Linked DNA regions of Caenorhabditis elegans. The protein of the gene in region 1 binds, or shares a complex with, the protein of each later gene. Each region holds a gene or a part of one and is shown on either strand. Other genes may lie near its edges. The genes, in order: coq-4 and clk-1.

The links.
Region 2: coq-4 (region 1) and clk-1 share a complex: the UniProt entries of both Caenorhabditis elegans proteins name them as parts of the multi-subunit COQ enzyme complex.

What each region holds. Positions count from the first base shown.
Region 1 is NC_003279.8:3,867,418-3,870,661, forward strand, and holds coq-4 (Ubiquinone biosynthesis protein coq-4, mitochondrial), read left to right. Parts: upstream 1-1,796; 5' UTR 1,797-1,803; coding exon 1,804-2,099; intron 2,100-2,153; coding exon 2,154-2,240; intron 2,241-2,284; coding exon 2,285-2,437; intron 2,438-2,487; coding exon 2,488-2,647; 3' UTR 2,648-2,697; downstream 2,698-3,244. Other genes in the region: pgk-1 (putative phosphoglycerate kinase), read left to right, coding at 135-278, 334-458, 505-829, 881-1,540. UniProt on the Caenorhabditis elegans protein: Lyase that catalyzes the C1-decarboxylation of 4-hydroxy-3-methoxy-5-(all-trans-polyprenyl)benzoic acid into 2-methoxy-6-(all-trans-polyprenyl)phenol during ubiquinone biosynthesis.
Region 2 is NC_003281.10:5,275,810-5,279,966, forward strand, and holds clk-1 (NADPH-dependent 3-demethoxyubiquinone 3-hydroxylase, mitochondrial), read left to right. Parts: upstream 1-2,084; coding exon 2,085-2,220; intron 2,221-2,667; coding exon 2,668-2,808; intron 2,809-2,892; coding exon 2,893-2,988; intron 2,989-3,048; coding exon 3,049-3,161; intron 3,162-3,281; coding exon 3,282-3,359; 3' UTR 3,360-3,535; downstream 3,536-4,157. Other genes in the region: toc-1 (similar to Transporter Of divalent Cations), read left to right, coding at 7-386, 510-732, 1,226-1,633. UniProt on the Caenorhabditis elegans protein: Catalyzes the hydroxylation of the 5-methoxy-2-methyl-3-(all-trans-polyprenyl)benzoquinone at the C6 position and participates in the biosynthesis of ubiquinone.

The DNA.
Region 1 (3,244 bases):
CAACTTCTATCATTTCTCACGTCGCTCGTCAAAATAGTTGTCTTGTTTGTTTCTCAATTTTAACATTCTCTCCTGTTTTGACCATCTTTGAAATTTTTGAAAATCAATATCAAACAATTTCAGCATTCAGAAAAATGAGCTCCCTCAACAAGTTGGCTATCGACCAGTTGAACCTCGCCGGAAAGCGAGTTTTGATCCGTGTTGACTTCAATGTCCCACTCAAGGATGGCAAAATCACCAACAATCAACGTATTGCTGCCGCTGTTCCAACCATTCAGGTAATCAATTCAAATTTATTTCAAACAACATTTTCAATAATATTCAAAATTTCAGCATGCTCTTAGCAACGGAGCCAAATCTGTCGTTTTAATGTCACATTTGGGACGTCCAGATGGCAGACGCCAAGACAAGTACACCTTGAAACCAGTTGCTGAAGAGTTGAAGGCTCTCTTGAAAAAGTTTGTTGTATAATCTGATTTTAAAAAAATTACAAATGATTTTCAGAGATGTTCTCTTCCTCGACGACTGTGTCGGATCAGAAGTGGAGGCTGCATGCGCCGATCCAGCTCCTGGATCAGTCATTCTCCTTGAAAATCTTCGTTATCATCTGGAAGAGGAGGGCAAAGGAGTCGATGCATCCGGTGCCAAGGTTAAGGCTGATTCAGCAGCCGTAAAGAAATTCCGCGAGTCTCTCACCAAGCTTGGCGATATTTATGTCAATGATGCTTTCGGAACCGCTCACAGAGCCCATAGCTCCATGGTTGGAGTCGAGCACTCACAACGTGCAAGTGGATTCTTGCTCAAGAACGAGCTCTCCTACTTTAGCAAGGTAATTTTTTCCTCCAATTTTTCATATTGAATTTTATTATTAAATTTTCAGGCCCTCGACAACCCAGCTCGTCCATTCCTGGCCATCCTTGGAGGAGCTAAGGTCGCTGACAAGATTCAGTTGATCAAGAACTTGTTAGACAAGGTTAATGAGATGATCATCGGCGGAGGAATGGCCTATACCTTCTTGAAAGTTGCCCAGGGAGTCAAGATCGGAAACTCTTTGTACGACGAAGAAGGAGCGAAAATTGTGAACGAGCTTCTTGAGGCTGCCAAGGCAAAGGGAGTTCAAATCCATCTCCCAGTGGATTTCGTCATTGCTGACAAGTTCGCCGAGGACGCAACCTCGAAGACCGTCACCGCCGAGGAAGGTGTTCCAGATGGCCACATGGGACTTGATGTTGGGCCGGAATCTTCTAAGATCTTCGCCGCTGCCATTCAACGCGCCAAAACGATTGTCTGGAACGGTCCAGCAGGAGTATTCGAGTTTGATAAATTCGCCACAGGCACCAAGTCATTGATGGATGAAGTTGTCAAGGCCACCGCTGCCGGAGCCATCACAATCATTGGAGGAGGTGACACTGCGACCGCCGCCAAGAAGTATAACACGGAAGATAAGGTGTCTCACGTCTCAACTGGAGGTGGAGCCAGTTTGGAATTGCTCGAAGGAAAAGTTCTGCCAGGAGTTGATGCTCTTTCGCCAGCTCAATAATTTTCTAATTTCTATTGTTTATTCCTTGCCCAATAGTGTATTTGTATTTATTCTTTCTCTCTCTAAAAACTTTCCCACATTAGTCTTGAATTGTTCCCAGTGATTTCACAATCTTCCATGTAACATGAAGTATAAATAAAGTGTATAACTATAGAATAAATTAAGAGTTCACTTAATCGTAGAGTTTTTTAATCGTAGAGTTCCGTATATCTACCAATACATTATAGTCATTTTCCAATTGAAAAAAAAAGAAAAGAAATCAGATGTCTGCTCAAAAGCTATACGCATCGCATGTTCCCTTGGCACCGCTGTCTCGGATGCTTCTCGGGATTGGATCAGCAGTAACAGCGATCTCGGATCCAAAAAGAGGAGATATGGTGGCAGCGATGGGCGAAACTACTGCAATTGGACCAGTTTTAGAAAATATTCGAAAAAGAATGGAATCTGATGTTGTTGGAAAGCGACTTCTTCTCGAAAAACCAAGAATTTCAAATGGAACAATTGATAGAAAGTGGCTAAGACAGTTACCGGATGGAACATTAGGAAAATTGTATTCAAAGTATGTGAAAGTATATTAAACAACAAAAAAAAATTGAAAAACTTCAATTTTCAGCTTTCTCGATCGTTTGAACACATCTCCAGATGCTCGGCCCACTGTCAAGTATATCGATAATTTGGAGCATCTTTATGTTATGCAAAGGTTTTAAAAATCGACGTAAATAACAAAAAAATTCAAAATTTCAGGTATCGCGAAACACACGACTTCACCCACATCGCATTGGAGCAGAAAACGAACATGCTCGGCGAGGTAACAGTCAAATATTTCGAAGGAATTCAATATGGGCTTCCAATGTGTGTCACTGGTGGAATATTTGGAGGTGCCAGGCTTTTAACAAAGTAAGCAGAAAGAGAGACGAAACCATGAAAATAAAATTTAAAAATTCTAGAAATCGCCAAGAACTTGTCGACCGGAACCTCCCTTGGGTTGTGGAGCAGGCCACGAATGCACGATTCTTCATGGCTTTCGACTGGGAAAATCACTTTGAAAAGCAGCTCAGCGAGGTGCAGAAGGAGCTAAATATAACGCCATTATCTGTGAATATGTGATATAGATTTGATCTTGAATTTCTCAGTGATAATGAAAAAATGAATTAATTAATTTTTTTGGACCGGACATTAAATTTGAAAAATTTGGACCATTTAACAGTTACGGTATTACGATAACACTTAAATTCTGAGAATGCGTATTGCACAAAATATTTGACGAGCAAAATACTATCAAAATTTATGAATCGATCCTTCGATTTTGCAAAAATCGAAGGATCGATTCATAAATTTTGATAGTATCCCGTAGCGAAAACTACAGTAATTCTTAAAACTACTACTGTATCGCTTGTGTCGATTTTCGAAATGGATTTAAATATCGATAGAATACTAGAATTAAGCAAATATTAAGAAAATAATACGAAGCAACGCATTTTTTAATTTCGAAAATATTTCTAAATCGATACAAGCGCTACAGTAGTCATTTAAAGAATTACTGTAGTTTTCGCTACGGGATACTTTGCGTGTCAAATATGCTGCGGAATACGCATTCTCAGAATTTTGTGTTTACCGTAATACCAAAACGTTCTGCGACTGGCAGTTTAGTCAATTTCTTTGGATTTTGATAATTGTGTGATTTGTGAGAAAGGATTTATTGTA
Region 2 (4,157 bases), on another chromosome or scaffold:
CTTCAGGTGTTGGCTCAACTATTTTCCATCTTTTTATCGAAGGAATCATTCGAGCACTTGTTATCCCCTGATCACCATGGTTCTCATGATGCTTCAGCGGCTCACGAACATGAAGTAGAAGAAATCGGCGGCTGGCCATATTTTGTTGGTTCTGCTGCATCTTCAGTGGCGCTGCTTCTCTCAGCATACGCTCTTAAAAATCAACCGTTTCAACATGTTCTTCAATCAGCAACGGCTTCAAGTTTGCAAGAGCATGCAGCTGATTTGTCCCATGCTGTGTGCTGGGTTATTCCTGGCCTTTCGCGTCTTCTTCTGCCAAGAATCAATTCAATGGTATTGTTAGCCTTGACGACTACTGGACTGAACTTGTTATGTGAACATTTCAAGTGAGTTTAGCTATCATACACCTCATTTGAAACATAATTTTGGCCTATAAATTACCGTTTTACGGCTATGACCTTCAATAAATCAGACAATTAAAAAAATTATATAAAATTTCTCATTTCTAGGCACGACTTCGCATGGGCTGATCCAGTATGCTGTCTGCTGCTCTCTGTTGCTGTGTTCTCAACGATGTATCCACTATCAACATATACTGGAATGATTCTACTTCAAACAACTCCTCCGCACTTGATTAATCAAATTGATCGGTGTATTTCTGAAGCTTCTCACATAGACGGTGTTCTTGAGTTGAAGAGTGGACGTTTCTGGCAACTGGATTTTAACTCGCTGGTAAATCTTCAGTTTAAAACATTTTAAAAAAAGTAAAATTCTTATTAATAATTCTCAAAATTCCTCAATTATTTGTTCAAAAATCTGTTAATAAGACGTCCGGTTTTTCAAAACTAACTTTTCGAGTTTTTATTTCGCGTTTCATAATTTACTAATTTAGAAAAAAAAAGTGTCAATGTATTGTAGCAATTGTAGCAAAAAAAAAAAGTTTCCATTTTTTTGGGATGAAAAAATTCGCAAAAAATTTTCCCGTGGTGGAGAGTTGAACTCAGTTACCGATTGAGCCAGGGAGGATGAGGAAATCCTAGGTCGAAAAGTTCGAAAAGGAAAAGCAATCGAAACATGGTCGAAATTTAAAACCATTTTTAACGCCTCAAAAACTGGCACTAAATTTTAGTTGATTTTATACAATTGGATTATTTATAAGATAATTATTTTATGTTAAAAAATCAATAAAAATATTTAAAAATTTAATCTTTTTTATTATTTTCAGGTTGGCACTGTTGATGTTCGTGTACGACGAGATGCGGATGAGCAGAATGTTTTGGCTCATGTAACCGAAAAGTTTTCATCTGTAATCACAGTGCTGACTGTTCAAGTTGTCAAAGACGCTGCATGGTCTGCAGGAGAGCAAGTTCCATATTCGAATGGACATATTCATAAGAGTGAAGGAAATCATTCACATGATAATGGGCATGGACATTCTCATGATCATAATGATCATGGACACAGTCATGGACATGATGATCATGGCCACGACTCTCATGGACATAGTCATGATCATAACGAACATGATCATGGTCACAGTCATGGAGGAAATAATGATAATCATGGACACAGTCATTCTGCAGGATCAGACAATCATCATGGACATAGTCATGACGGCGTTTTTTATCATTAGTGCTATAGATTTTTGTTGAAAACATCGGGTTTCGCACTATTTTGTATTTCAATCCTATTTTGTATTTCAATCCAATCTAGTTTAAGAGTTCAACCAAAAACTGAATTTCATGTCGTATTTTCTGTACATATCCGGGCTGGCCCAGTACATTTGTTTACCTCTTCTAGTGTTCCCGCCACCAAAACTTTAATTTATTTACTTTTTTCCTGGATTTTATAGCTGTGATTGTATTTTCATTTCCCATGAATTCTCATCTAGTGATATTTAAATTAATTAATTTATTCATTGTTCCCTGTTTTTCGAAAGCTTTGCTCCTTCTTTTTACAATTTAATTTTATAGAATACATTTTCCTTTAAAAATTTTTTTTTTGTTGACATTTTTAAAATTGGCAGAAACCATTGTGATAATGTTTTCAACACATAAAATTCCACTGAAAACGTTGAAATACAGATGTTCCGTGTAATAACCCGTGGAGCACATACTGCTGCTTCTCGTCAAGCACTTATAGAGAAGATCATTCGAGTTGATCATGCTGGAGAGCTTGGAGCCGATCGGATTTACGCTGGACAGTTGGCTGTTTTGCAAGGTCCTCACTTTTGACTGGATATGAAACAAAAAATGTTCGAAAAACTCGTTGCTGAAAACTAATTTGAAACGCAATTTTGCGATTTTTCCTTATCGAAAAGGTGTGCGCCTTTAAAGGGTACTGTAGTTTGAAACTTCAGCTGCTACGATTTTCATCGATTTTTCATCGTTTTCCCGATGAAAAATATTTATTTTTAGAAAAAAAATAGAGTTCAACAAATTTTTAGAAACATGTGTTTTTTAACTAAAAAATCGATTAAAATTCCGCAGCCCAAATTTGAAATTACAGTACTCTTTAAAGGGACATATATTTTTGCACTTAATAAAAATATGTCGTGTCGAGACCGGGTATCGCTTTTTTTTTACGAATAGATAACATCGCTTCAGAAATTTTTAAAAAACCATTTCCATTTTTTTAAGGAAAAAAATAAGGAAATTTTTTTTTCAGGTTCATCTGTTGGTTCAGTAATCAAAAAGATGTGGGATGAGGAGAAAGAACATTTAGATACAATGGAAAGATTAGCTGCTAAACACAATGTACCTCATACTGTTTTCTCTCCAGTTTTCAGTGTGGCTGCTTATGCTCTCGGTAAGAAGTTTGTGGATTTGCTGTAAAACGCTCAGATAATTAAGAAAACGCGTTTTTTGCCAAATTTTACTATTTACCTTGCAGGTGTCGGTTCAGCACTTCTAGGAAAAGAAGGTGCAATGGCTTGTACAATTGCAGTTGAAGAACTCATTGGACAACATTATAATGATCAATTGAAAGGTATTCCAAAATGAAAAATTGGAAAGTTTTTTAGAAAATAAAATTTTCTGAAATTTCTAGAACTCCTTGCCGACGATCCTGAAACACACAAAGAATTGCTGAAAATTCTCACAAGATTACGTGATGAGGAGCTTCATCATCATGATACTGGAGTAGAACACGATGGAATGAAGGTTCGTGTACGCTCCTTTAAGTGAATTTTAGTGAATTTTCTTCAATTTGTTTTTTTCCATCTAGAATCTTACAAAAGTAAAACATTGTAAAAAATATTTATCAAAAAAATAATTTTTCAGGCTCCAGCCTACTCGGCTCTCAAATGGATTATTCAAACTGGATGCAAGGGAGCTATTGCGATTGCTGAGAAAATTTGAACAATTTCAATAATGTGTCCCTTTTCTTCCATGGTTCTTTGCAAAATATCCCCATAGACGCTGCTATTCCCCAGATTCTAGATGATCCTCAACTCTTTGTAAAAACAACTTTTTTGAAAATATTTTCTCGTTAGAAATGTCCGACTGACCACTGCAGATAAACAATATTCTAGTTCTTTTTTTGAAACCAAAAAACCGAATTTTGTCAGAAAAAGAGGAAGTTGCTTCTTCTTTTCTTCTTCGAGAGCCATTTAGGCGTGGTAAACACGGCGATAAACAAAGTGGACACAAGGATTCGAGAAAAAAAGGAAACGAGTGGACAATGGAAACAGAAGTTGGGACTTCTCCAGTTGTCTGCCAACTTCTGATGATGACCAGAACTTTTTTTCTCATTTTTTTGAATTTTATATATCCTTAAAGTTGCTTCAATCAGGCTTTATATGAATTCAGAAGATATTGGTTTTTTTTTTCATATTACGAAAATTGATTAATTTTAAAGTAATGCGATTCCCCCAAAAAATTATTGATTTCGGTCCTGACACGGACAATACTTTTCAGCTACCGTATAAGCGATTACGGTATTTTTTCAATATTTTATGAAGCAAAATTTTGAGAATTTTGAGTCAAAAGTACGGTACCCGGTCTCGAAACGATAAATACTTCTGAAATACGAAAAGTTGTGCGTCCTTAAAGAGTACTATAGTTTGAAATATAACTTTCAAATTTTAAAGTATTCAAATTTTGGAAAAATGGTTTTATAAATTTCGAGAATAAATACAAGAAAACCGGAGAAAATTG